Linked DNA regions of Macaca mulatta. The protein of the gene in region 1 purifies or fractionates together with the protein of each later gene. This does not show direct contact. Links are inferred from orthologs where the notes say so. Each region holds a gene or a part of one and is shown on either strand. Other genes may lie near its edges.

Region 1 (4,290 bases):
ATCCTTCAAAACTCCACCAACAATTCCTAGTCCAGTTTTCTATTGTACAGATTAAAAAGTTAAATTCCTTGTGGCACTAACCAAAACTTAAAAATTAACAGAAGACTGAATTAATTAAAAAAAAAAAAGCATACTAACTAATCAAAACAATCCACTGTGCAATGAATATTTGAACAATGAAAAAAACCTACCAAGCATCCCAGTCAATTACATAGTTCTTGCTTCCATATTTTAATTTTGGACTTTCAGGAAGGTATATTATTAAACAGGTCGATTTTGTGGACTGTTTAAACCTTGTAGTATTTCAAAATATTACCCTTTCTAAACCAAATCTGTGGTCCTGGTCAACTTTTTTTTTTTCAAGAAAAAGAAAGGATATGTGTTTAAAATACATTCCGTAGCAGTAGAAACATCTTAGTGTCTCAAAATCTATTTACAAAGAACCCTGCTGATCCTGTGCATTTCGCTGAGGTGCTACTTGCACCCAGACTTCATCATCTGAAAAAGAACTTGAACTTCCTGACTCAGAGTCCAGCTCACTGAATCCATCTAAGTCCCATTCAGTACTAGACTCACTCCGTGCATCATCTTCCTCAGTAATAAAACTCTGACCAGGTTCAAGGCAGGAAGGATAAACACGGGCACAAAGGCAAATAAAGCCAGAGTCAAACTGCAAAAGGCCTAACATAGTACCTATATTAATCCACTGATCTTCCCTAGTATCATACTCATACACTGTTACTCGGTTCTTTTTCCATTGTGGGGTTGTAGAAGTGATGAGAAGCAACTTTCGGTCATGATTGACAATCTGGTAGTTGTGGGTCTCTGAATCCAAAGGAATATTACTAATCCGCCTCCATTCTCCCCTAGCTGGGTTGTAGACCTTCATGACTGGGATGTCACAGATACAATAGATTTCATCATTGAAAACACATGCTTCCTGAAAGTCACTGCGTTTAAGAGAAGCACAGTTCAGCCACATATTGTGGCTAGGATCATAGCAGAGCATGCGCTTACTGTTGACAGCATAAAGATAGTTCTGAACCACTATGAGTTCAAAGGAATAGAAGGAATGAGGGACAGGAGCCACCAATGCCCACTGGTTTCTCTGAACACTGTAGCATTCCACTTCCTTCAACTTAACTCCAGTAATAGGGTCTCGCCCCCCCAAAATGTAGATGTAGCCATTGAGATATGCCACATCCATGCCCTCACGACACAGCAAGCGATCTGCAAGTTGCTGCCAACTATTCTGAGCTGGTTTATACACCCAGAGGTCTTTCCTTGGCTGGGCAGCTAGATAGATGTCATGGTCTGGGGAGACACAGACAGCTGAGGAGGTAACAGTCTTAGTGTGAGCAAAGCTGGTCAAAGGTGATGGCATTGTGTAAATGTCCCCTGAGTAAGGGTCATAGCAGAGAAAGGGATCTCTGGGGTGTCCAAAGAAGATCACCATCTCCTTGGCACACATACCCAGTCTCTGGGGTGGATTTTCTGCTGCAGATACAAGAGAGTTGCTGCTGCTACTGCTGCTGCTGCTGCTGTTTGGCACTGGCACCAGAGACTTGTACAACAGGTCACCATAGCGCATCTGCAGGGCCCCTTCAATAACGTCCAGGCAGTACTTCTTCACAATGGGCTTGGTCAGCAGCCCTTCTAAGTAGTCCTGATCTTCTTCAGTGAAGTGCATCCAGCGCACGCACTTGAAGACTTCCGCAGCACTGGGACCCCGCTCCTTGGGAGCAGCCTCCAGCCACTGCACAGCTACATGGCATACAGTCCGCTCACTCTCTATGTCCAGACTATCCAAGCGCAGGACAGCCAGCAGCTGGGCCAGGGTCAGATCTGCTAGAGTCTCTTCCCGAATTGAACCCATTCGGCTGAGCTGCTTGAAGTTCTGAGCTATATAGGACTGGGCCTGAGATCGAAGCTTGTGATGGTCGAAGGCGTCTGCAAACTTGAGGATGGCGGTGCAGTTGGTCAGGTCAAGACGTCGGGCTAAGAAGGAGGCACAGGCTTCCCGCACATACTCCAGTTGCAGCATGTCGGAGGCTGCGTACAGGCGCTGCACATTGGCCTCGCTGAGAGACACACGACCCGTGTAGCAGTAGTCGACCAACACCTCGAAGGACTCGGCGTCCACATCGTGCATGGTCACGCTGGCCTGCTGGCTCTCGTACATGCCACCTGTGAACATGCTCTTGAAGTAGGGACACGCAGCTGCTAGCACGTTGCGATTGCAGGAAAAGAGGCGACCCGTGCCAGGCCCGCTGCCAGGCGTCACCACCTCGATGGTCACATCACACAGCAGCCGCGCGTCGTAGAAAGACTTGAGCTGTGCCAGCAGGGCTGCAGAATGGGCCGTGTCCTTTAATTCCTCTGGACCCGTGAAAAAGGCCGAAACCGAGGGCTTGGAAATCCTCTTGGGCCGCCTCCCACCGCGGGGGCTGGCGAGGCGGCGAGAGCGCGGGGCGTCTTCCCGGGACTGCATGGTGGAGATGGCGACGGGCGCTGATAGCGAGAAAGGCTGCCGGACCCGGCTCTGGCTCCTCCTCAACCTTCCCTCGCAGACGCTAAGACAAGCCGCGTCCTGGAACAGACTGCGGCACGGGCCGCACTTCTGAATTCAGCCCTAGCCCGCGGTGAGGCCTCCCTTTATTGCGTAGACAGTGGCTGACTCACCCTCTCTCACTCCCGCGCCCTTTCTCCGCCTCCGCTCGCCCTCACAGGACCCGCTGGCTTGGAGCCGCGGAAGGCCCCACTGCCGCGCTGGCGATCCCGCTAGGCGCCCAGGAGAACTACCGCTTCCAGGTTGCCTTTCGCGCCCCGAGGCCTGCTGGGGCTCTCGGACGGCCGGGCGGGGACAGAGGGAAAGAAACCGCTTTGCATGTTGGGAGTAGTAGTTTGTGTAATATCGCGAGCTTTCCTTTCGCTGACTGCCCTAACAGTAGAAATTAATTCTGGATATGATGGTGAAGTGACGATGTCTCACTATTGTTGTCCAGGCTGGTCTTGAACTCCTGAGGGCTCAAATTATCCTCCTGCCTCTGCCTCTCAAAGTGCTGGGATTACAGGCGTGAGCCACCGGGCCCTGCCAGTATTTCATAGGGTTTTGTGTGATTGAATGATACGTTACATAGGATACTTAGATACATATATTTTTTTGGTTAGAAGAACAATAAAGCGTTACCCCGTGCCTAGAATGTAGCCAATAATTGTTAGATTCTCTTTTATAATTTATGATAAATGAGGCACCCACTAATTTGAAACCAAAAAATTTTTAAAATTTTAAAAATTATTTTAAACCGCAAAATTTTACAAAGAACTTAGTTTTTAATTTTTATTCTTTTGAAAGATTTTGAAGGGCATTAACTATTTTCAATGTTAAATGGTACGTATTGGCCTTGTTTAATAAGGATGTCTTAGACGACTAGGTTGAGGTCCTAAAGAACGGTGTTAATAGATGGCCTCAAATATGCAAATCGGGCATATAAAAATAGATTATTTGCTACTCTCACTAACATTTCATCTCTGGGGAGCAGGAATATTTTCATTAAGCTCCAAATATGAGTGTTTTCAAGTCGTCTAATACAGCCTCTTTCACTGCCATTCCACATATCAATTAACAGATTCTGTAATTGCCTTTATTAAGGAGTTTTAGGGAGTATTTAACTCAAAATATTTCAAGAAACAGACTTTGTTCTGTACAAAAGCACGTGATTCTCAGAATTCAGCATTAGTACATGCCCTGACATTCCTTGAATTAACATACAGTATAGCCTATGCTTTACAAAAGTCTTTTATATTTGCATTGATCAACAGTTAAATCATCAAAATCAAGTATTAGAGATTTGAGGCAGGAAAATAGGGTCTGGAGGCAGGGAACATAAGGCCGATTCACACTTTAGCTATAACAAGAAATATCCTCTCCATAGGGTGTATGCCGAGTAAATGAGTTTGTAACTTTAATTCATTCTCTTCGTTTACATAGGGTATACACCAAGTAACCAGTGAATCCTCTAGAGGGTATTTAAACCTCCAGGAATTCTGTAACAGGGCCCTTGAGCCCTGTGCTGGGCCTGCGCCCACACTGGAGTGTACTTTCATTTTCAGTACATCTCTGATTTTGTTGTTTCATTCTTTCCTTGCTTTGTTTATGTGTTTCTTCCAATTCTTTGTCCAAAACGCCAAGAACCTGGACACCCTCCACTGGTAACAGATTGACTTTTTCAGATAACTTTTATTACAAAACCAGTGACTGCTCCTGCTGCTAGTTTATATTACCATAAC
Region 2 (4,275 bases), on another chromosome or scaffold:
ACCCAAGAGAATAAATTCTGAAATGATGTCCAGCAACTGTTGAAGACTGGCACCTGGTCGTATACTGAGCAATTCATTAATATGGGCATTGCTGAAACCCATGTCCAGGAGGGAACTGATGACCCTCTCTAGCTCCAAGGACCCTTGTTCCACAGGAGTCCTCTGCTTCTCGAGGCGGCACTGAACACGATTCCTCCTGCACTCTGGTTCCTGCACATAGTTATTGGATCTAACACAAGATAACTCCTCAGTGACCCCTCCATTGGAGGCTGTGGTCAGTTTGCGCAACAAGGAAGCTGTCATCCTTCTCTGTTCTCCAAGATGAGGAGTCTGCCTAGCCATCCAGGCCCAGGTGAGGGGGATCAGGCGGTGCCAATCAAGGACCTGTAAGACACAGGACCAAAAGACAATTAATTCCTCACTATCCCAGTGTAATGGACACCACAAGACCTTTGAGCCAGAGTACTTACTGCCTTGGTTCCACACAAACATACAGTTTTTAAAGCAATCTGCAAAATCATATCTGAACTTAAGCTACAGAGAAGGAAGCTCACATAGAGAGAACAGGGTACTTCAAGGTCACAGAGATGGGAGTCAAGCAGGTACAATATTGTTGGCTTTTGTAGCTTTAAGGACGGAAGCAGAGACATGGAGGAAGAGGGAAAAACCAGGTCACCTGGTCATGTGTGCCAGAAAAGACTGGACCTCAGACTGCTTTCCAGATTCATGTTCTTAAATTCATTCCACGAGAAGAATCTTGTGGGATAGAGTTGGCCCTTGAACAACAAGGGTTTGAACTGCTCGGATCCACTTATATGTGGATTTTCTTCCACCTCTGCCACCCTTGAGACACCAAGACCAAACTCTCCTCTACCTCCACGTCAGCCTAAAGACCTTATGAGGATCTGCTTCCTCTTAATGAATAGTAAATACATTTTCTCTTAGGATTTTTGTTTGTTTTTTGAGATGGGGTCTCACTCTGTTGCCTAGGCTGGAGTGTAGTGGTGCAATCATGGCTCACTGCAGCCTTGACCTCCCCAGGCTGAGGTGATCCTCCCACCCCAGCCTTCTGAGTAGCTGGGACTACAGGCGCACACTACACCCTGCTAATTTTTGTATTTTTTGTAGAGACGGGGTTTTGCCCTTATGGTTTTCTTAATAACGTTTTCTTTTCTCTAGCTTATGTTAAGAACACAGAGTGCAGTAGATAAACACGATATGTGTTAACGGACTGTTTATGTTGCCGGTAAGACTTCCAGTCATGAGTAGGCTATTAGTAGTTGAGTTTTAGAGAAGTCAAACATTATACACTGATTTTCAACTGGTGTCGGGGCGGTCTGGTGCCCCTAACTCCTGTGTTGTTCAAGGGTCACAGTAGTTAGTCAACTTGCATACACAATTCCAGTTGACTCAAAAGTCTTCAGCTGTTCAGGATGGTGCTTAACAAACTATGCACAAATCATCCAGGCACTCTAAGCCAGCAGTCTTCAACCTTTCTGGCACCAGGGACTGCCTTCAAGGAAGACAGTTTTTCCACAGACTGCTGAGGGGTTTCCGGATGATTCAAGCACATTACAGTTGTTGTACACTTTATTTCTATTATTTTCACGTTGTAATAGAAGATGAAATAATTATACAACTCACCATAATGTAGAATCACTGGGAGCCCTGAACTTGTTTTCCTACAACCAGAAGGTCCCATCTGGGGGTGATGGGAAACAGTGACAGATCATCAGGCATTAGATTCTCATAAGGAGCAGGCAACCTAGATCCCTCAAAGGCGCAGTCCACAATAGGGTTCGCGCTGCAGTGAGAGTCTAAGGCGGCTGGTCCGACGGGAGGCGGAGCTCAGGCTGCAATGCCAGCGAGGGGAGTGGCTGTAAATGCACACCAAGTTTGGCTGGCTCACTCGCCGCTCACCTCCTGCTGTGCAGCCTGGTTCCTAACAGGCCAGGGACCGGTACCGAGGATTGGGGAACCCCTGCTCTAAACCCTTCACATCGGTCCCAACCCCTTCTCCAGCGTCGACTGTCGCCCCGGGGCCAGCCTGCCAAGCCCATGGCTGCTCTCCAGCCTCCCCTGTCCAGATGCTCCCTCCGCCAGGAACACCGGGCAGTCGCTGGGCTCAGCGGGCGCAGCCCGGGAAACTGGGCTTGAGCCTAAAGACCTTTATGCGGATTCCGCTTCCTCTTAATGAATAGTAAATACATGTTACCTTCCTTGTGAAGTTCAAACTCTTGTTCAAGAGTCAACTCAGGCCGGGCGCGGCGGCTCACGCCTGCAATCCCAGCACTTTGGGAGTTCGAGGCGGGTGGATCACCTGAGGCCAGGCGTTAGAGACCAGCCTGGCCAACACGGTGAAACGCCGTCTCTACTAAAAATACAAAAATTAGCCGGGCATGGCGGCGGGCGCTGGTAATCCCAGCTACTCGGCTGAAGCAGAATCGCTTGAACCCAGGAAGCGGAGGCTGCGGTGAGCCGAGATCGCGCCACTGCACTCAAGCCTGGCGACAGAGCGATACTCTGTCTCAAAAAAAAAAAAAAAAAAAAAAAGTCAACTCTATACCCCACAAAAATTGAGCAGAGCCACGGGTCCAGGATGCCAAAACCAGGTCACCGTGCACGGACCTCCAGAAGGGCTCCACGACCTGGCCGTGAAACACCCGGCGGCCGCGGTTCCTCTGCGTCGCTGCCCCCCCATCTGCCACCTGGAGAAGCCCCCGCGCCCAGCGCGACCTCACCTGACGGCCCAACGCAGCCATGGCGCGGAGGAGATGGCGACAGCTACGGCGCCGGAAGCAGCCGTCCTCCCCGGTCCTTCACTTCCGGCCCTCGGTCCGTCACCACCGCAGTTCCCAGCGCCAGCGCGGTGCTGGTGGATCATGGTTCCGGCCCGTAGCTGTGCTGAGCCCTCACGACCCCGCGGGGCTCGGGTGTCCCGGGGCCGCCCCTCCGCAAAGCTGGGAGGCCGGAGTCGCGCCCGTCACCGCCCCGCCGCCTCTGCCGCGGCCTCAGTCCTCGGGGGCGTCGGCGTCCGGTCGTTCCCGTTGCACTGCCCGTGTCCCGCTTCGCAGAGCTCTGGGCTGGGTGAACGAATGGGTCGTCCTGGCCCACACTCGTGTTTCAGGTGACCTGAGAATTCCTCTCAAGAGGACGGGTAGATACAGGGAGAGGGGAACTGGTTCCTTGCTTCAGGAACTTCACCCGAGAGCGCAGAAATCCTTCCCGAGGCAGGAAAAACGGATTCCGTTCCAGATAGAGATATTTAAGGTTTCATTGTGTAAAAATCTGTATTCACCATGAACAGCGGGGCCACCTACGCACAAAAAGAAGTCTTTACCGCTTTTATTTCTTTTTTACTCTCAGCCAGTGGAAGATGAGAATTTGCCGTTTTTAAAAGACCCAAGTAAAATGACAGGAATTATGGGACATTTCCCTTTATAAGCAAGAGCCTTCCCAACTTAGAGGTCTGGGTCCCTGTTAGGATGAAATACAGTAAAGTTACAGCCCAAAGTGTATTCATTCTTAAATTTTCTCTCTCGACATGTTTGAGGATAAGAGCGTAGGCATCTTTCAAAAGGTGATGTTTGTGAAGAATAAAAAGGTGTGCTTTCTCAGCTGCCTAAATCCTGCCACCAAAGCCTTAATTTATAAGCATTTCTTGTTTTATCCACTTCATTCTGGACTGACATAAAGGATTTGATTCTTGCATGGGTACACATTTACATATCTGCTCTGCGCCAGGCACGGAGTTGGGTGCTAAACTGTTTCTGTAAAACTATCTTTTTTTTTTTTTTTTTAGTAGAGACGGGGTTTCACTGTGTTAGCCAGGATGGTCTCGATCTCCTGACCTCGTGATCCGCCCATCTCGGCCTCCCAAAGTGCTGGGATTACAGGCTTGAGCCACCGTGCCCGGCCAACTATCTTTTGACAAAAGGATTATATCAAAGAAAAGGAAGGTTCCAATCTGTGTAGAACTAAAGAATTGGTTTCTTTGGCAGGGTGCAAGTGGCCCACGCCTGTAATCCCAGCACTCTGAGAGGCTGAGGTAGGAGGATCACCGGGCTCAGGAGTTCAAGACCAACCTGAGCAACATAGGAAAACCCTGTCTCTACAAAAAACAAAAACTAGCCGGGAGCAGTGGCCTGCACCTGTAGTCCCAGCTACTCAGGAGCCTGAGGTGGGAGGATCACTTGAGTCCACGAGGTTGAGGCTGCAGTGAGCCGTGATTGCACCACTGCACTCCAGCCTGTGTAACAGAGCAAGACCTTGTCT
Region 3 (4,166 bases), on another chromosome or scaffold:
AGCAAACTACTGAGTGTCTTTCCTGCCTCATTTATATAATTTTTCAGAAACATAGAGCACCCCACATAATCATCCTTATTCCTCAGAACATCAGCTCTGGGAACATCCCTGGGCTGCCAGGGTGCAGCAGCTTAGCTGGGAGCTGTGGTCATGGCATTCAAACTAGGCCACCGGGCTCTGGTCCCGCCCAACTTGTGCTTGGCTATGCGCAGATCAGACTTGCTAGCAATAACTGACGTTTCTCTGAATGACAGCAGGTAGCTGCTTAGCACGAGGGGGAGCTTTACAGGCAGGCCCATAGAGACAGCACACATACATCAGAATTAAAGGCATGCACATTCCACGACCCAGTCATTCCTCTACCCAGGCAGAGGCCCCCAGAAAACTGTGTGACTATATGCACAAGGACACATGTATATTCACAGCAGCAATGTTCCCAACGGCCAAAACCTGGAAAATATCCCAGTATCTCTCAAGGGCAGGATGGACAAATTGATACATTATTAAAATACAATGTTATATTGCAATGAAGACAGACAAACCAGTCACACAGACCACCACAAAAGGGATGCATCTCAAACATAAAGTTGAGTGAAAAACACCCCAGAAGGATTTGTAGAGTATGATACCATTTTTATACAGCTCAAAAAACAATGTTTTACAACAACTTGAATAACTTTACACTACTGAACTGTACATTTACAAATGGTAAAGACAGTAAATTTTGTTATGCATTTTCGCTACAGAAAAAAATTGCCAACAAAATTAATCTATTATTTAGGGGTGTGTGTTTGTGTGTATGTGTATGTGTGTGCGCGCGTACGCACCCATGCAGTGAAAATATAAAGAAAAAGCAAGGAAATGAAAAACATAACATTCAGGATGAGGTGACCTGGCCAGGAGGCAGAGTGTGGTGGGAGGTACACAAATTTCCCTTGTGTTTTGTTTTGGTAACGGTCTGCAGATATGTGTAATGGGCTCATGGCATTTGTTTATTATGCTTCATGATTTAGATATTTAATTCTTTTAGAGTACCAAACATTTCATAAGTTTAAAAGAATAGGGAGATGAGGCCAGGCCAGGCGCAGTGGCTCATGCCTGTAATCCCAGCACTTTGGGAGGCCGAGATAGGTGGATCACAAGGTCAGGAGACCGGGACCGTCCTGGCTAACACAGTGAAACCCCATCTCTACTAAAAATACAAAAAATTAGCTGGGCGTAGTGGTGGGCACCTGTAGTCCCAGCTACTCGGGAGGCTGAGGCAGGAGAATGGCGTGAACCCGGGAGGCGGAGCTTGCAGTGAGCCGAGATCGCACCACTGCACTCCAGCCTGGGCAACAGAGCTAGACTCCGTCTCAAAAAATAAATAAATAAAATAAATAAATAAATAAAAAATAGGGAGATGAGTGGGTGAACATCAAAGTGAATACTCACTCCTGGTGAAGGATCTAGGTATCCAAGAGGCACAGGTATACTTAACAGCAAATTTTTCAATGCAGTTAGAATTTTGCAAAGTGAAGAGGGTACAATAATTTCAACTGGAAGGAGAGCGAGTTGAGGGATGGTACCAGTAATTTGAAAGGGGCAAGGGGGGTGAAGCAAGGCAGGTGCGGTGGGCAGGGTGGGGACACAGGTGTTAGGTCTGGGGAGCTGTGGGGGGAGGTGCACGCAGAAAACGCTAAATCGCCTTCTTAATCCAAGTGTCAACATTCTATCCATCAGGAGGATCTTCAATGTGCTTTCATCATCTTTCCTTATCACTTTTACTTTTCATGTAAGTAGTGTTCATGACAACCCCCTTTATATCGTAACAGGCTTCTTAGACCTCATGGAAAGTTAAAAGTAAGCTAACTCTTCTACCATAAACAAAAAACTTAATGCATTAACAGTAAGGTTTTTGTGTGACAAAATAAGAGAAAGGAACTAAGGCAAATAGTTATTTGTTGTGCTTTTTTTAATCTACTTTTTATAAAGCTTTTTTCCTTCGAAAAATCTTGGCCAGACAGGTTAAAATCCTATATATTTTACATAAAAAATGTAGAAACGTGTTAAAAGCCAACCCTAAAACAGATACCGAAGTGTTCACTGCCCAAAGTCCCCCTGAGCAGGCAGCTTTTAGATTCTATATCCACGGACTGCTGCTGCCCAGTGATGGAGGTCAAAGCTAAAACCAAAGATTAATTGAAAGCTGTCCACATAAGAGACACGCTTCGTAAGTCTCAAGTCATAAAAGTAAACACTCACACATGTTCAAACCACAAGGAAAAAAAGAACATGTGAAAAACACTTTTTCTTCTTCTAAGTTAGAAGCCTAGACATAGTAAGAATATAGATTTCTGCAACATAAGAAAGCAAAAAGTTTTATGCCAAAACAAGAAATTCTCATACATGAACAAACACAAAAGCCAGTATGTTAAGCTCTACCCAGGAAGCAAAACCATTACAGATTCCGAGCACATGGACAACAGCAGCCTTTGATCCACAGATCCAGTAAGAGGCTATAAGTTTCACACAGATGTGCTAAAATCAATACAAGTATTTTTTTAAAAAACCACCAGTGACTAACTACAACCTACAATCTCACAATTTGTTGCTGAAAGATGCCAGAAGCACAAACACATCTGAGGATAAAGGAGTTACTGAGAGAATGGTTTTGCTTCCCTCCCCTTCCCATGAAGAAAGGTTGGGGAAAACAAGGGGAGAGCTTGCAGAGGGACTCACACGGCCTTTCCATCTCCCCAACTTTTTAACAGCCTGGATCCACATCCTACGCAGGGCTTGAGCAGTCTTCATGGTCTCTGGAGATGCATGGGCCAGGCCACCGCCTACATCCCGGGCTGCTCACCCATTTCCATCACTCCACGTGGTTACGTAAGGCGGATACAATAGTGGCCCACATTTCCAGCAAATCCTGTTGTCATCTCACACAGTGACACATCCATACGGCAGGGATGCCAAACGCTTTGAAAAGCACTACTTATGAGCAAAAAAGAAAGCAGTTCGGATTTGCACCACTTTCACAGCTTTTTTCTTCTCCCTCTCTCTCCCTTGCCAGGGAACTAGAGCATCCGAGTAGGTATTTCTTTTAGGCACATAAAATGATTCACCATCTAAGTTGACAGTATTAAGTAAATGAGACATTTTAGAGCAACACTATGGAAAAGAATAGTTAGAGAAGTATTTATGTATACAGTATAGACCCTCTGATACACACACACACACACAAGCCAGCCAGAAATAAACTAGCAATGTTTCAGGTCAACTGAATGGCTAATGTTACATAGAAATTAAAAGGCATGAAAAGAAAACATTTTATATCCTTGGAGATAACAAGGGGGAGATAAGACTCGATCATTTGGTGCTGCTCAGAGACAACTCAGGGACAGAAGGCTTGCTCAGCAAAGTTCCACTATCTAACCTTTTTGGAAACTTAGCAGATAAAAGAATAACAAAGAACCCTGCCGTCTGTTTCTTTGTCTTTACCACCTGGGGAGAAGGGAGGGGTGGAGAAGCAAATTTTAGGTTTCTGAACATCTAGCAAAGATTTTATGGGATGCTTGGGGCTTGGGAGCTGGGGTTGGGATTTCAGAAGCCTGGTCTTGGGGAGCCTCTGGCCAATTCTTGCTACCATGGTGTATGTTATATGCCAATGGGTTGAGTCAAATAGCTTGCAAATGGAAAATGTGCCATCTGATTTGAGGCTGAGATGTATATAAATCTGGACCATGAGATGGCCACCATCTAGGAAACAAGGCGAAGCAGAGCCAACGAAGTGATTTTTAAAGTCACAAGATCTGGAGTGAGATCCTTGTCCTGTCACTTAGCTGTGGGGCACTGGATATACTATACCCTTCTTTATACAGTGGCGATAAAACCATCTACACCTCAGAAGGGCAATGTCAGCAAGAAACAAGGCAATCTCCACAAAGCACTCGTGCTGGTGCAGGACAGGCACTGGGAAATGTGTGTGTCCTTTCCTAAGGGTCTATGACAGTAAGTTCTCAGTTGAGTTCTTAGTAAGTGTTATGACAGTTAAATGAGATCAAAAGTGAATAAAAGTTTGTTTCAAATCCTACACTTTGCCAGGTACAGTTGCTCATGCCTGTAATCCTAGCACTCTGGGAGGTCGAGATGCGCAGATCGCCTGAGCCCAGAAGTTCGAGAGC
Region 4 (3,500 bases), on another chromosome or scaffold:
ACTACAGGCATGTGCCAACACATCTAATTTTTGTATTTTTAGTATAGATGGGGTTTCACCATGTTGGCCAGGCTGGTCTCGAACTCCTGACCTTAGGTGATCCACCCGCCTTGGCCTCCCAAAGTGCTGGGACTACAGGCGTGAGCCACCACGCCTGGCCCAAATGATCAATTTTTAAAAGGAAGCAACTCTTCTATCTTTCCATGGAATTTATTTACAATATATGCACCATAAATAAATGTGGAAATACCGGTGATGCCTACAAGGCCACAGGAACAGAGGGAGAGATTTGCTAACACACAGCATGGGTAGCATCACCAGCCCAGGTATTAATCAACGACAGTCCCCAAAGCCCCAAAGGACAGAGTGAAGACAGCATACCCGACGAGGAGTCGGATGATTTTAGAGCAAAAGACCAACCGTCAGGAGTCATGGACGCACAGTGTGGTAAGCGCAGCTCCACAGGCTTCAGGAACTTGAGGCCATGGGGACCACACATCACCAAGGGACTCAGCAGTGTTTCACCTGGAGTTGGAAAAGGGGATAGGCAGAGAGGTTGGATGTGGTCTTTCTTCTAGACCCCCAGTTTTCCTCACCCTGCTTCTAATTATATGCTTGAAAGCCTAATGCAGTTAGTTCTCTACAATCGCACTGACCACAAAAAAAATGTAACAGCAGACACATATGGAATTTTAAATTTCCCAGTAGCCACGTTAGAAAGTAAAAAGAAACAGGTGATAACAAATAGTATAGTATTATAACTCAATATAACCAAAACACTGTTATTTCAACATGTAACCAATATATGGTATCTTTGGAACTTGATGTTTATTTCACATTTCCAGCATCTTTCAATCCAAAATTGTCACACTTCAAGTGCGAGGTAGCCACGTGCAGGTAGTGGCTACTGCATTCAATCATATGGGTCTATAGTATAAAACATATTCAAATGTACTTGTTACAAATGTGACATATTTTCCATTTTTAAAATTTGCTCCATAGATGCTTAAAGGATTCATGCAGGGCCAACACAGTCAGTCCTACTGGTTTTTAAAACAGGATATCCCCAAAATCAGAGTACAGAATCAGATATCAGTATTCTGGCAAAACGTAAGAAAGTGTTAACTGATTTAGGAAAGTAAAAGCACTGCTAAAAGATGCTAAATCACGACACAGTTCGTTACAATATCCTGATAGATCCAGGAGGATTATGAAAATAACAGTTTCCTTAAGAAGCTCAGAAACATACTGTCGTCTCCTCTGAGACTCCGTGCACTCTGCCGAGCATGTACTAGTGCTGGGTTCTGGGGTGATGGTAAGACAGTACCTGTCAAGACGTTTAGGTTCTCCAATCAGGTGAAGACACAGCAAAGCCTTTCTGAGTGGGTGTTACCTAACCCATCTCCAGAGACCCAAAGGCTGACGGACTCAAAGACAAACTTGGTCAGGTCAGCCCAGGCTGCTCAGCAGGCACAAGTGAGAGACACCCCGTGGCCTGTCCTATGCCATCATTTTTTTACTTCATACCAAAAGTAAAAGCAGGCGGTGTGGCCACCACAGCCTTGCCTCAGGCCACCTCCTGCCTGCTTGCAACACCATCCCCAGGGCACCCCTCGCTACAGCACTCATCTGAAAGGACCTCCCTGATGAAAGGAACATGCTATTATTAGTGGCCCAGGGTGGAGGCAGAGAGAGGTGCTGCATTACCCCCTTAGCCAAGCACTATAAGCTTTGAAGTGCACACAGGGCAACTCTTAAGTTATCAAAACTAAGGAGAAAAATAAACACATTTACCTTTCTCTTTATCTAAAGGTGGGAGGATGCTGTTGTCTCGGCAGACCTTGAAATAGATTTCCTGCTCAACTCCTTCGGGAATGGCTCCTTGAGGGATAATTATACTGACTCCAGTTTCTATGGAACTCAGCACGCCACCATTGCTGTTAAATATGCCTCGCGCTGTGGCCACCACAGTATGACCATCTTCATCTTCATCCTCTTCCACAGCTGAAGGACTGAAAGTTCAGAAATGGCTAGTGAGTGAATTCCTAATAGTACACAGGTGCTTTGCTTTTACTACTACTGTATTACGTGCTTTCATTTTACTTTTGTTTCTCCATATAATCAAGAAGTTACTTTAACAAGGTAAGTTTCTGGCAACAGATTTTACTGACAGGGTTATCTCAGAGAGTATTATTATCATTATTACTATTCTGAGACAGAGTCTCACTCTGCTGCCCAGGCTGGAGTGCAGTGGCACGATCTTGGCTCACTGCAACCTCTGCCTCCCAGGTTCAAATGATTTTTCTGCCTCAGCCTCCCGAGTAGCTGGGGCTACAGGCATGTGCCACCACGCCTGGCTAATTTTTGTATTTTTAGTAGAGATGGGGTTTCACCATATTGGCCGGGCTGGTCTCAAACTCCTAATCTCATCATGATCCACCTGCCTCAGCCTCCCAAAGTGCTGGGATTAGAGGCATGAGCCACCGTGCCCGGCTGTTCTTCCATTCTTAGTGACACAAAACAATGGTGCATCTCACAGCTGACAGCATCTCAGACTTGATAACATCTCCCTAGGATTTTAAGTACACATGAATATGGTCCTGCCTCAGCATCCCTGAGGACCAAGTGCCCACCCTGCTGCAGAAGGCAAGGCTTCCAAGGTTCCATGAGCTGAAGACCCTTGTATGGGCACATCCCAAACATCCACAAAAAGAGAGACAGTAGATTAACTTAGTAATCACAGAACACCAAAGGCAAAGGGGATGTGGTATCAATGACGGCTTCAAAAATAGAGGCTATCAAGACTTCCTGAAGGACAGTTTTGAGCCAGGGCTTAAAGGTGAGCAGAAAGACCAACAAAACAGAATCACATGAAGGTAGCTGCAGCTTCACTCCAGCATGACCGGAGTGCCAGGGACGACATCCTACGGCACAATATCAAGGGAGCAGAGTGCAGCCTGAGCTGCATAGCAGGGGTCAACTGTGTCTGTCCCTGACCACCGGTGGATGTGCAGAGCTAGGAAGGCAGTGACCGCCATAACCATCCTTGCTCTCGGAAAGCAGCCTCAGGTGGCCATCCTGACCTTTGGTTCTCCCTGCCTATAACTGCTTCTGCTTTACGGTGGTATGAAAATGGAACTGGCTGTAGGAGGGTGAGATGAGCTAATGTGTGGCCAGAATCCATCCGGGCAATCGCCACGGAATGAAAGACAGGAAAGAGGAGCTGCAGGGAGGCTCCAGGAGGGCTTGCTCTGTCTCATTTGCTCAGCCATCTTACTAACTGCTGCTCTTTAAACAGTCAGGGCTATTCTATTTTTCTTCTTAGCATCATTGTGGAACAAATAATGAAAGAGGAACATAGATATTTAACGTTTTTAGATGTCCTCCACATGCCCCTTAACAGCAGGTCAGGAGAATACAAGAGGCCATGGCTGGTTAAGAGTATGGGTTCTCGGCTGGGTGCAGTGGCTCACACCTGTAATCCCAGCACTTTGGGAGGC
Region 5 (3,429 bases), on another chromosome or scaffold:
ACACCAGAGAACCCCACGCACTGGCCATACAGTAGGTGCTCAACGAAGACGAGTCAATAAAGATCCAACCCATGTCCAATCTAAATAACCCAGCCTCTCCCCTGGGGGAGGCCTTTCTCCTTGGGGACCACCTCCCCTTCAGCAGCACCCCACAGTCCTCCCTGGTGTCTGGAGGAAGCCAACAGGTCTGAGATACTGGGGTGCCCTTCTCCTCCTGACAGTAGGGAAAGGCCAGCCAGGGGTGGCCAGGACCCAGGGAAACAAGTAAGGCAGACTCAAGATGGTTCGTGCTTGCTATGTGTTCCCAGAGAGGGAAGGCACAGCCGGGCTCAGACACAACTACGCAGTTTGATTCACACGACTCCCAAAGTGGATTCTCCTGATGCCAGCCCAGGCCAGGGCTAGAGCCTCGGGGGACAGGCAGGGTACCGGCTCCCACTTTGTATTCACATGGAAAATTTCTACACAATTGAAATATTAAAGTAGGTGGACCAGTCCAGTGAAGAGGTAATAGGTGTTTATTAAAAACTTTTTCACCCAGAGGCAGTTACCATGTATAACTTAAACCCCAGCCCACTACAAAAAGGGATGGGGGCAATAAAAACTGTGCAACATTGACCAAAGGACCCAGACAGACGAGACCCGGGAAGGGCAGCCCCAGGGGCCGGGGCCTCTCCTCTCCCGAGGCCTGGAGCAGCTGCATTGTGGAAGCCGGGGCGCCCCTATCCCCTGGTGTGGCCCTGTGCACCGGCCTCTCCGGCTGGGGCAGGGACCTCCAAAAGGCCATCAGTAGTAGTGTGTGCTCATCGTGCAGCCTGGCCGCTCAGCCACTCACTCTGCTGAAGGACACAGAGGGACAGCTCAGGATCGCCCTGGGCAGGACGGGGTGCCCCAGCCGCCCACACTGAGCCCAGACATGGTGCTTTCCAGGTCATCAGGGCACGTGTACGGCCCTGTGGAATCCAGGGGAGTGGGACCAGGGCTCTTCCTCCCATCCCTTCCCAGCACATCTGGCAACTGCACTCAAGCCCAGAGCCCCCACCTCCGCCATTGCTGAGGCTGCGCCCCATGGCCGCTCGATGTGAATGCCAGTTGAGGCTCCTGCATGGGCAAAGACAGGGGAGTCATGACCTCAGGGGGCCTCCACTCCCAGCGCTCCCGAGCCCCCTGGCAGAGCCCCGGGCCCACCCCAGCCAGCCTGGGTGGTGCCTCACCCGCGGTCTCCCTCCAGTGTGCTCTGGATTTCCTTCAGGACTCCTGCAGGCCGGGTGGGAACAGAGGCCCACTGAGGCCCTTGGGGCGGCCAGCCACAGCCTTTCCACCCCCTTTCACCATGGGTGCCGGATGGATCTGTCCCCTGCCTCAGGGTAACGGCCTGCCCACCCTCCCTTGACCCTGATCCCCCCTTCCCCACCCCTCCTGCCAGCCCCACGCTCTCCCACCCAACTCACTCTCATCACTGAGCAGAGCGCGCTCCATCACCAAGCCGGGCTGCTTCTCTGGAAGGTAGAGGCCGGGTCAGGGAGCCCCGCCTGGGCCCTCCTCGGCCTGGCTCTCTCCTTACTGAGGTCGGGATGTGGAAGCCCAGGGCTGGAAGGAATGCCGTCTCTACTCCCAGCCCAAACACTACCTGCTCACTCAGGACCCCGTCCCTCCCGTCCAGCCCCAGGTCTGGGCTGGGTGTGGCCCAGGTGTGCATGGGCCCAGGAGGCCTGTCTTACCCTCGCCATCACTCTGAGTCCCTGAGTTCCTGTGGGGAGAGAGACAGTGAGGACCAGGGCCTCTGGGCTCCCTGCCCAGCTCTGAGAGCCCTGGTCCCATGAAGAACAAAGTCAATGGTGCAGCCTGCCCTGAGCAGGAGAGCCTGGGAGGTAAACTGAGTCCTGCCCTGGACTGCCAGCTTGCACAGGGGCAAGGGGCACGCGAAGAGGTATAGAGAGCCAGAGCCTGGGAGGGTGGGCTGAGCTTGTGGGGAGGTGTCTCTGGCCAGGCAGCAGTGGGAGCCTCAGGGTATCTCAGAGAGGGCAGGGAGGGGCAGGAGAGGCCTCTGGCCCTTTCACTCACCTGGCTCGGCTCGGCACCTTCTTGGGGCCTGCCCCGTTACCAGGGCGGTGGTTCTTGGTTTCTGCTGAATCCACCAGACACCGGGGCTCCACCAGCCACTTGGTGGAGAGAGAGAAGCGCTCGAACTCCGAGGGTGAGATCAGGTAGAAGCCTGGGGAGTGGGGGCAATGCTAGTGGCCTGGCCTGGTGGCTGCCAAGGCTGCTTCCCAACCTGGGGGAGCAGGGGCTAGCGTTCCCTCGCAGTTCTCCGCTTAAGGCCCATCCAGTCTGGCCATGGCCACAACACCCCTGGCCACCCTTCCCGTCCCTGCAGTGCCTGGGGCCCCCACACCCGCCCAGCCCAGCTCGAACACCTTGGCCATATTTGGTGAAGACGCAGGAGGCGATGCCACTGACGTCCTCCCGGCGGATGCAGCTGTAGCGCACCTGGGGCTTGAGCAGTGGCAGCGACACCACCTGGATGTCACCCAGATTGGTGAGGACTGCCAGGTGGTGCTCCCCATAGTCCTCAGCTCGACGACTGCCGAAGTGGGCCACGCTGACCCGCCTCACCCTTGAGCCCTCCAGGGCCGTCAGCTTCAGCTTCAGCTTGGCACTCACCTTGGGCAGCGTGAACACCTGGGGGTGCGGGGTGGTCGTTCACGCCCATGGCCAAACCAGTTCTCCTGTGAGGTGCTGTAGGTGCTGGGCCCTCCCCTCCCCGCATGCCTCCCGGTGTCCTGGCAAACCCTTGGCTCTCAGATGCACAGACACAGCCTGGGGGGATGCCGAGGTCACCGACTTCCCTGTCTGGAATTTTTTTTTTTTTTGAGACAGAGTCTTGCTCTGTCACCCAGGCTGGAGTGCAGTGGTATGATCTCGGCTCACTGCAAGCTCCACCTCCCAGGTTCACATCATTCTCCTGCCTCAGCTTCCCAAGTAGCTGGGATTACAGGCACCCGCTACCACGCCCGGCTAAATTTTTGTATTTTTAGTAGGGATGGGGTTACACCACGTTAGCCAGGATGGTCTTGATCTCCTGACCTCATGATCTGCCCACCTCGGCCTCCCAAAGTGCTGGGATTACAGGTGGAAGCCACCGTGCCCAGCCTTTTTTTTTTTTTCTGAGATAGAGTCTTGCTCTGTTGCCCAGGCTCAACTACAGCAGCGTGATCTCGGCTTACTGCAACCTCCGCCTCAAGTAATTCTCCTGCCTCAGTCTCCCGAGTAGAGCTGGGATTACAGGCGGCCGCCACCACGCCGGGCTACATTTTTTTGTATTTTTAGTAGAGTTGGGGTTTCACCATGTTGGTCAGGCTGGTCTTGAACTCCTGACCTTGTGATCTGGCCTCCCAATGTGACTTGGCCTCCCAAAGTGCTGGGATT
Region 6 (3,500 bases), on another chromosome or scaffold:
GCTCCTGGCCAACCCGGGGCAGGGAGGCAAGGGCAAGCATGCGCTGACACCCTCCTCTCTTGTCCAGAGGCCCCAGTGCAGTTCCTTGCTCCAGAGACAACCCCAAGTCCGCTGTGTGTGGCCCCGGGGGAGCCAGTGGTGCTGAGCTGTGAACTGTCCCGGGCTGGCGCCCCCGTGGTCTGGAGCCACAATGGGAGGCCTGTGCAGGAGGGCGAGGGCTTAGAGCTCCATGCCGAGGGCCCCCGCCGAGTCCTCTGCATCCAGGCTGCAAGCCTAGCCCATGCAGGGCTCTACACCTGCCAGTCGGGAGCAGCCCCAGGAGCCCCGAGCCTCAGCTTCACTGTCCAGGTGGCTGGTGAGTACAGCCTCGGCACTAAGCCTGAGAGTGGCACCCCAAACCCTGTAGGATTCCTGCTTTTCCAGCATGTCCTGCCCATCCCTGGCCCCGCTTCTCTTAGTACCCTCCCCATCATGCCTCCCCCTGCCCTCCTCAAAGCCCTGAGCCTCTCCCCCCCAGTGACCTCCAGCTCTGACTCCACAGAGCCCCCTGTGCGGGTGGTAGCTCCCGAGGCAGCCCAGACGAGGGTTCGGAGCACCCCAGGCGGGGACCTAGAGCTGGTGGTGCACCTCTCCGGGCCAGGGGGCCCTGTGCGCTGGTACAAGGACGGGGAGCGACTGGCAAGCCAGGGACGGGTGCAGCTGGAGCAGGCCGGGGCCAGGCAGGTGCTGCGGGTGCAGGGGGCACGAAGTGGGGACGCTGGGGAGTACCTGTGTGACGCGCCCCAGGACAGCCGCATCTTTCTTGTCAGCGTGGAAGGTAACAGCGTACCCCTCAAACCCTGTGGGCTCTGGCACCCCAAGGACCACCTGGTACACTTTAGGGCCCCCTTACCCCTCCATCCCCGCTTTGCTGCCTCTGGCTCCAACCAGGGTGTGCATGACCATCACTTGGATAGGGGCTCAGGGCTCCCCTTTCCAGAAACCCTCATGTGAGAGGGTTAAAAGCATAGACTGGGCCGGGCGCGGTGGCTCAAGCCTGTAATCCCAGCACTTTGGGAGGCCGAGACGGGCGGATCACAAGGTCAGGAGATCGAGACCATCCTGGCTAACACGGTGAAACCCCGTCTCTACTAAAAAATACAAAAAACTAGCCGGGCGAGGTGGTGGGCGCCTATAGTCCCAGCTACTCGGGAGGCTGAGGCAGGAGAATGGCGTGAACCCGGGAGGCAGAGCTTACAGTGAGCTGAGATCCGGCCACTGCACTCCAGCCTGGGCGACAGAGCGAGACTCCCTCTCAAAAAAAAAAAAAAAAAAAAAAAAAAAAAAGCATAGACTGGTGGTTAAAAGCAGAGGCTCTGGCGTCCACCCACCCAGGTTCCAGCCTGGATTTTGTGCCCCAGTAGCTGTGTGACATTGGCAAAGTTGTTCAACCTGTGTGAGCCCCAGTTCTGAAAAGAGGGGATAGTGCTTGTCTTATAGACCTGTTGTGACAAGTAAATGCTGTAAATAGGGTCCCTGGTAAATGATATTATTAGTGCATCACCAAGGTGGGGTGCTAGGCTAGGATTGCGAGGAACTGACTAAAAGAATTGGCAGGGAGCTGGCATCTTGTCCTTTGGGCCACCCGTGTGGTCGATACATAGTAGGTCCTCACGGAAGGTTTGTTAAATGACTGGGGATGAGGGCCTGTACCCTGAGGAGGGGATGAAAAGGAGAGAGGAGAAAAGACCCAGCCCAGCTCACTGCCTGACCGTGCCCCTCAGAGCCACTGCCGGTGAAGCTGGTCTCAGAGCTGACACCACTCACTGTCCACGAGGGCGATGATGCCACGTTCCGGTGTAAAGTCTCCCCACCAGATGCCGATGTCACCTGGCTGCGCAATGGGGCCGTCGTCACTCCAGGGCCCCAGGTGGAGATGGCCCAGAATGGTTCAAGCCGCATCTTAACCTTGCGAGGCTGCCAACTGGGTGATGCAGGGACCGTGACTGTGCGGGCAGGGAGCACGACCACAAGTGCCCGGCTCCATGTTCGAGGTTAGGTCCTGGTGAGGATGAGGTGCTCTGTGTCCTGTGCCTGTACTCCCAACTCAGACCCCAGCAGCCTTGCCCATCTACCTAGGGACAGACCAGTGGGATGGAGCAAGGGGCCAGCTTCCAACCCCACCAGGCTCCATGGCCTCCTCCTTCTTCCCCACCAGAGACAGAGCTGCTGTTCCTACGGCGGTTGCAGGACGTGCGGGCAGAGGAAGGCCAGGACGTGTGTCTCGAAGTGGAGACAGGCCGAGTGGGTGCAGCGGGGGCTGTGCGCTGGGTACGAGGTGGGCAGCCCCTGCCCCACGACTCTCGCCTGTCCATGGCCCAGGATGGGCACATCCACCGCCTCTACATCCATGGTGTCATACTAGCTGACCAGGGCACCTACGGCTGTGAGAGTCACCACGATCGCACACTGGCCAGGCTCAGCGTGAGGCGTGAGTGCCCTGTCCTCTCTTAATGCATTACCCACCCCACAGCACAGCCTTTTCTGGCTGTCCTGGAGTCCCTCAGGCCCCCACCAAAGTGCCCCTCACCGCTGAGAAAAGTCAACCGTGGCCGTCCCAGCAGCAGCCTGCCCAAAGCAAAACTTTTCTTTTTCTAATATTTTTTATTTACCTTAGAAGTCCATGTGGATTTTGCATTCCATTGCATATTTCAAGTTGGCTTTGCTATAAACACAAATATTCTCCAGAAAGACCTGCCGTGGGCATCCTTCAGTCATGTATTCTAGGGATACACATACCCACTTAAGTAGCAGGGATGACTGGCAAACAGCACCCCACACGTCCTACCCAAAGCTGGAGCCCTCTGTTTCCTGTGTGACCTCATGCAAGTTAACCTCTCTGAGCCAAGTCTCCTTAAAAATGGGGCTGAGACCAGGTGCAGTGGCTGATGCCTGTAATCCTAACACTTTGGGAGACCAAGGCAGGAGGATCCCTTGAGGCCAGTAGTTTGAGGCCATCCTGGGCAACATAGCAAGAACCCGTCTCTACAAAAAAAATAAAAATTAGCCAGGCATGGTAGTTACTAGGGAGGCTGAGGTGGAATGATTGCTTGAACTCAGGAGTTTGAGGCTGTAGTGAGCTATGATCATGCCATGGCATTCCAGCCTGGATGACAGCAAGACCCTGTCTCAAATTTTTAAAATGGGGTTGATCCCCGTCTCAAGTGTCTCTGGGAACATTAACTGAGATGAAAATTCTTACACAGAGATTGGTGAATGGTTGTCATTGGTGACACATCTGTTCTAACTTATTTCATTCAAGAAATCATCACAATAAACCTGTGTCCCAGTGTTATTCACCTTGTACAGCTGGGGCAACTGGGGCCCAGAGAGGTCAGGCCATTTGCCAAAGATCACACAGCACACTAACTATGTGGTAGAGCGAGGTTCCATTCTAGTGTGTCTGACGCCAAATTCCATGCTCCTTCAAGTGTCACAGTACCCCTCACCCAGACTCCATG
Region 7 (4,138 bases), on another chromosome or scaffold:
CTCGAATTCCTGACCTCAGGTGACCCACCCACCTTGGCCTCACTTTAGGCGTGAGCCACTATGCCAGGCCATAATTTTTGTATTTGTAGTAGAGACAGGGTTTCACCAGGCTGGTCTCAAACTCCTGACCTCAAATGATCTGCCTGCCTCAGCCTCCCAAAATGTGTTGAGATTACAGGCGTGAGCCACTGCGCCTGGCCTGGCCTGATACTTAGAATTAAAAAAAAAAAAAAAGCCATAAAAAATCAATGCTTTGGGTTAATGATCACAATATATTGTTATGTGAAGAAAAATTAATGGTCAGGTGGCATCTTATTTTATATCTGCATAGAAAAAACACTGGACAGGAATACAAGATGGTAGTAGTAATCACTCATTGGTGGAATTACTGTTGAGGTTTACTCTCCTTTCTGAGATCTTCAAGATTTTGCAAAGATTCTCCATTAAGTGCCCCACGTTTTGTTTTGTTTTCTGGCCATTGGAATTGACGTAATTAATACAAACTACAGGCCGGGTGCGGTGGCTCACGCCTGTAACCCCAGTGCTTTGGGAGGCTGAAGCGGTCAGATCATGAGGTCAGGAGTTTGAGACCAGCCTGACCAACATGGTGAAACCCCGTCTTTACTAAAAATACAAAAATTAGCCGGGCGTGATGGCAGGTGCCTCTAATCCCAGCTATGCGGGAGGCTGAGGCCGGAGAATTGCTTGAACCCGAGAGGCGGAGGTTGCAGTGAGCCGAGATCACGCCACTGCACTGCAGCCTGGGCGACAGAGCAAGACTCAGTCTCCGAAGAAAAAAAAAGAAGAAAAGAAAAGAGAAAAGAAGAGGGAGGAAAGGAAGGAAGGAAGGAGGGAAGGAAGGAGAAAAAGAAAGAAGAAAGAGAAGGAAGGAAGGAAGGAAGGAAGGAGGGAAGGAAGGAGAGAAAGAAGAAAGAGAAGGAAGGAAAGAGAAAGAAAGAAGGAAGGAAGGAAAGAAATAGAGAGAGAGAAAGGAAAAGAAAAGAACTACAATAGGTGTTCAGCGTGTACTCCGTTAAAAAAAAAAAAATAGAATAAAAACTACAAGTTCCAGCAGACATCTCGCCTACGACTTCTGTAGATCGTCTTTCCCCGAACGCAATGATCGCTGGGATTCGTAGTCCAGTGACAAAATCAAGGAGGGACGCGCACTACCGGCCTAGATGACAGAGGAGGGAATCACTACCATTCCGACCAATGGACAGTTCACGCCGAAACTGAGTGGCGAGCGCATAGCCAATGGGTAAGCCATTCAGCCTGAGTGACATGGGTTGCAACCTACAGGAGGCCCGTGGGGCGGTACGGCGCGCGGCGCCCGTAGTGCGAACCATGGGAGGCGGCTGGTGGTGGGCTCGGGCCGCTCGCCTCGCCCGTCTCCGCTTCCGGAGGTCGCTACTGCCGCCTCAGCGGCCCCGGAGCGGGGGCGCCCGGGGGTCCTTCGCCCCCGGCCACGGTCCCCGCGCCGGGGCTTCGCCGCCCCCAGTGTCCGAGCTGGACCGTGCGGACGCCTGGCTCCTCCGAAAGGCGCACGAGACAGGTCGGTGGCTGGAGGTGGGGGCGGCGTGGATGGGACGGGGGTCCCGGGCGCGCGTGGAACCTCGATGGGGCGGAGGCTTCTGCAGGAAACGGGGCCCGGGCTCGGCTCCGAGAAGGGCTTCAGTGTGAGCGCACGGAAGCGCAGAGTGCAAGAGCGCAGGTGCCCGCAGAGAGGATGGGCTTTCGGGGAGGACGAGGACCCCGCGTAACGGGGCGCCGTAGGGATTGGAGGGGGTGGTAGGGTTGCGCGAGGCAGCCTCGTAGAATCGCGCCTGTCGTGTGAAGAGGGGCTTCCAGGGAAAGCTTAGAGTCTGTGGAGTTGGGTACTAGAGGGGTCCGTCCCGATTACAGAGGCCACCACTGTGCAGAGAGCGGGAGTGTGGATCCCCGCAGACGAGGGGGAAGTTCAGGATTGGAGGAGGGGACAACCAATAGGGAAAAAGCTCTCTGCTGATTGGAGGGGGAGGTGATCTAGGCTGCAGGGGGCGGGGCTTGTGACGGAGGCGAGGTCCAGAATGTAGCGGAGTGGCCATCTATTTTTTTTTTTAATTTAATTTAATTTAATTTAATTTAATTAATTTATTTTTTTGAGACGGAGTCTCGCTCTGTCATCGGGGCTGGAGTGCAGTGGCCGGATCTCAGCTCACTGCAAGCTCCGCCTCCCGGGTTTACGCCATTCTCCTGCCTCAGCCTCTCAAGTAGCTGTGACTACAGGCGCCCGCCACCTCGCCCGGCTAGTTTTTTGTATTTTTTAGTAGAGACGGGGTTTCACCGTGTTAGCCAGGATGGTCTCGATCTCCTAACCTCGTGATCCGCCCGTCTCGGCCTCCCAAAGTGCTGGGATTACAGGCTTGAGCCACCGCGCCCGGCCAATTTTATTTTTTTAATGACAATGTTTTGCTCTGTCACCCAGGCTTGAGTGCAGTGGCACAATTTTAGCCCACTGCAGCCTTCAACTCCTGGACTCAAGTCATCCTCTTGCCTCAGCCTCCTGCTTAGCTGGCGCTACAGGCATACACCACCGTGCCCAACTATTTTAATTTATGCAGAGACGGGGTCTCGCTTTGTTGCCCAGGCTGGTCTGAACTCTTGGGCTCATACAATCTTGCCTTGGCTTCCCAAAGTGCTGGGATTACAGGCGTGAGCCACCTCACTGGGCCAGTACTGGGTATCTAGATATAGGGTGTGGTGGGCTGTTTGTAAGGGACTTGAATGGGGACGGACGTGGATGGGATTGGCGCAGGCCATACTCGGTAGGAGATGGCGGCATTTGAAGGAAAGGAAGGGCGAGGCTGAAGTGCGGCCTGGGTTAGGAAAGTTTGCCCCAGAGTTCTGAGAAAGAAGTAAGTAGGCAGGCCGTGGGGATATACATAGAGGGAGGGGGTTGGTCAGGATGGCTCTTCAGATTGGAGGTTCTGCAATTTTGCCCCTGGATTGTCCTCCACATTCTGCAGGGACTATCTTGAATCCTTTATTTATTTTTTTGAGACGGAGTCTCGCTCTGTCACCCAGGCTGGAGTGCTGTGGCAAGATCTTGGCTCACTACAAACTCCACCTCCTGGATTCAAGTGATTCTCCTCCCTCAGCTTCCCGAATAGCTGGGACTACAGGCACGTGCCACCACACCCTGCTAATTTTAGTATTTTTAGTAGAGACGGGGTTTGACTATGTTGGCCAGGCTAGTCTCAAACTCCTGACCTCGTGATCTACCTGCCTTGGCCTCCCAAAGTGCTGGAACTACAGGCGTGAGCCACCGCACCCAGCCCTTGAATCCTTAGTGTTACAGAGTTTGGGGGAGAGGGGCACTGAGGTGGAGGCCAGAGAGCATGTGGGGGGATGTGGTTAGGTGAGGGACTTCCAGGAAGAGGTGAGGATTTGGGGTGGGCTTGCCTTGTGGCTGCATGGGGTGGAGTGAGCTGAAGGGGGAGCCCCTTCAGTTTTACAGGGCAAGGGAGATTGAGGAGGTAGGGTTGGGGGTGATGTTAATCCCCCCATGTCTCCCTCCCTCCAGCCTTTCTCTCCTGGTTCCGAAATGGCCTCCTGGCATCGGGCATCGGAGTCATCTCCTTCATGCAGAGTGACATGGGTCGCGAAGCAGCATATGGTGAGTACAGATCCCCACTCTCACCTCCACCAGGGAACCAGGGAATCCAGAGCCCCTACCACCTGTCCTGGTGAGGGTAGACTTTCCCATCCCATCCCACTCCCAGTAGTAAGCACAGAACCCCCATTCTTCCCCCACCAGGAAGACACCCCTCCCATGGGCCCATCTGAATGGGTGGCCCAGGACATGGCTATGGTCCCCTCCCCTCCGATCTGATTCTCAAAGATGCAGTCCAGCCCCTGGCACGGCCCTGCCTCTGTTCCTGTCTCCTCAACCCTGGCTTTGCTCCCAGACCATTCCCCACACCCCCGATACCTTTTCGTCCCCCGACCTTGGCCCTGTCGCTACCCTGCCTCTCCCGCAGGCTTCTTCCTGCTGGGCGGCCTGTGCGTGGTGTGGGGCAGTGCCTCGTACGCGGTGGGCCTGGCGGCGCTGCGAGGGCCCATGCAGCTGACGCTGGGGGGCGCGGCCGTGGGCGTG

What was found.
Region 2: the proteins of KBTBD7 (region 1) and MTERF4 purify together in Homo sapiens (co-immunoprecipitation; 3 studies listed by BioGRID and IntAct, counting the BioPlex papers as one, with this or other methods). This does not show direct contact. The link is inferred for Macaca mulatta from reciprocal best matches to the Homo sapiens genes KBTBD7 and MTERF4.
Region 3: the proteins of KBTBD7 (region 1) and TJP2 purify together in Homo sapiens (co-immunoprecipitation; 4 studies listed by BioGRID and IntAct, with this or other methods). This does not show direct contact. The link is inferred for Macaca mulatta from reciprocal best matches to the Homo sapiens genes KBTBD7 and TJP2.
Region 4: the proteins of KBTBD7 (region 1) and TJP1 purify together in Homo sapiens (co-immunoprecipitation; 3 studies listed by BioGRID and IntAct, counting the BioPlex papers as one, with this or other methods). This does not show direct contact. The link is inferred for Macaca mulatta from reciprocal best matches to the Homo sapiens genes KBTBD7 and TJP1.
Region 5: the proteins of KBTBD7 (region 1) and LLGL2 purify together in Homo sapiens (co-immunoprecipitation; 4 studies listed by BioGRID and IntAct, counting the BioPlex papers as one, with this or other methods). This does not show direct contact. The link is inferred for Macaca mulatta from reciprocal best matches to the Homo sapiens genes KBTBD7 and LLGL2.
Region 6: the proteins of KBTBD7 (region 1) and OBSL1 purify together in Homo sapiens (affinity purification with mass spectrometry; 3 studies listed by BioGRID and IntAct, with this or other methods). This does not show direct contact. The link is inferred for Macaca mulatta from reciprocal best matches to the Homo sapiens genes KBTBD7 and OBSL1.
Region 7: the proteins of KBTBD7 (region 1) and TMEM160 purify together in Homo sapiens (co-immunoprecipitation; 3 studies listed by BioGRID and IntAct, counting the BioPlex papers as one, with this or other methods). This does not show direct contact. The link is inferred for Macaca mulatta from reciprocal best matches to the Homo sapiens genes KBTBD7 and TMEM160.

The regions. Positions count from the first base shown.
Region 1 is NC_133422.1:20,614,150-20,618,439, forward strand, and holds the start of KBTBD7 (kelch repeat and BTB domain-containing protein 7), read right to left. Parts: upstream 2,801-4,290; 5' UTR 2,492-2,800; coding exon 434-2,491; 3' UTR 1-433. UniProt on the Homo sapiens protein: As part of the CUL3(KBTBD6/7) E3 ubiquitin ligase complex functions as a substrate adapter for the RAC1 guanine exchange factor (GEF) TIAM1, mediating its 'Lys-48' ubiquitination and proteasomal degradation.
Region 2 is NC_133417.1:146,364,363-146,368,637, forward strand, and holds the start of MTERF4 (transcription termination factor 4, mitochondrial), read right to left. Parts: upstream 2,801-4,275; 5' UTR 2,763-2,800; coding exon 2,742-2,762; intron 1,703-2,741; exon of another isoform or gene 1,648-1,702; coding exon of another isoform or gene 1,645-1,647; intron 385-1,644; coding exon 1-384. UniProt on the Homo sapiens protein: Regulator of mitochondrial ribosome biogenesis and translation. Binds to mitochondrial ribosomal RNAs 16S, 12S and 7S and targets NSUN4 RNA methyltransferase to the mitochondrial large ribosomal subunit (39S).
Region 3 is NC_133420.1:100,258,634-100,262,799, reverse strand, and holds the start of TJP2 (tight junction protein 2), read right to left. Parts: upstream 2,801-4,166; 5' UTR 2,794-2,800; coding exon 2,722-2,793; intron 1-2,721. UniProt on the Homo sapiens protein: Plays a role in tight junctions and adherens junctions. Acts as a positive regulator of RANKL-induced osteoclast differentiation, potentially via mediating downstream transcriptional activity.
Region 4 is NC_133412.1:8,711,510-8,715,009, reverse strand, and holds part of TJP1 (tight junction protein 1), read right to left. Parts: intron 2,013-3,500; coding exon 1,795-2,012; intron 526-1,794; coding exon 382-525; intron 1-381. UniProt on the Homo sapiens protein: TJP1, TJP2, and TJP3 are closely related scaffolding proteins that link tight junction (TJ) transmembrane proteins such as claudins, junctional adhesion molecules, and occludin to the actin cytoskeleton.
Region 5 is NC_133421.1:85,273,742-85,277,170, reverse strand, and holds the end of LLGL2 (LLGL scribble cell polarity complex component 2), read right to left. Parts: intron 2,683-3,429; coding exon 2,418-2,682; intron 2,216-2,417; coding exon 2,065-2,215; exon of another isoform or gene 2,046-2,064; intron 1,751-2,045; coding exon 1,722-1,750; intron 1,591-1,721; exon of another isoform or gene 1,500-1,590; coding exon 1,452-1,499; intron 1,258-1,451; coding exon 1,215-1,257; intron 1,102-1,214; coding exon 1,043-1,101; intron 840-1,042; coding exon 832-839; coding exon of another isoform or gene 804-831; 3' UTR 501-803; downstream 1-500. UniProt on the Homo sapiens protein: Part of a complex with GPSM2/LGN, PRKCI/aPKC and PARD6B/Par-6, which may ensure the correct organization and orientation of bipolar spindles for normal cell division.
Region 6 is NC_133417.1:124,796,764-124,800,263, reverse strand, and holds part of OBSL1 (obscurin-like protein 1), read left to right. Parts: intron 1-67; coding exon 68-355; intron 356-541; coding exon 542-817; intron 818-1,763; coding exon 1,764-2,033; intron 2,034-2,197; coding exon 2,198-2,470; intron 2,471-3,500. UniProt on the Homo sapiens protein: Core component of the 3M complex, a complex required to regulate microtubule dynamics and genome integrity. It is unclear how the 3M complex regulates microtubules, it could act by controlling the level of a microtubule stabilizer.
Region 7 is NC_133424.1:59,525,747-59,529,884, reverse strand, and holds the start of TMEM160 (transmembrane protein 160 precursor), read left to right. Parts: upstream 1-1,338; 5' UTR 1,339-1,347; coding exon 1,348-1,555; intron 1,556-3,565; coding exon 3,566-3,658; intron 3,659-4,022; coding exon 4,023-4,138.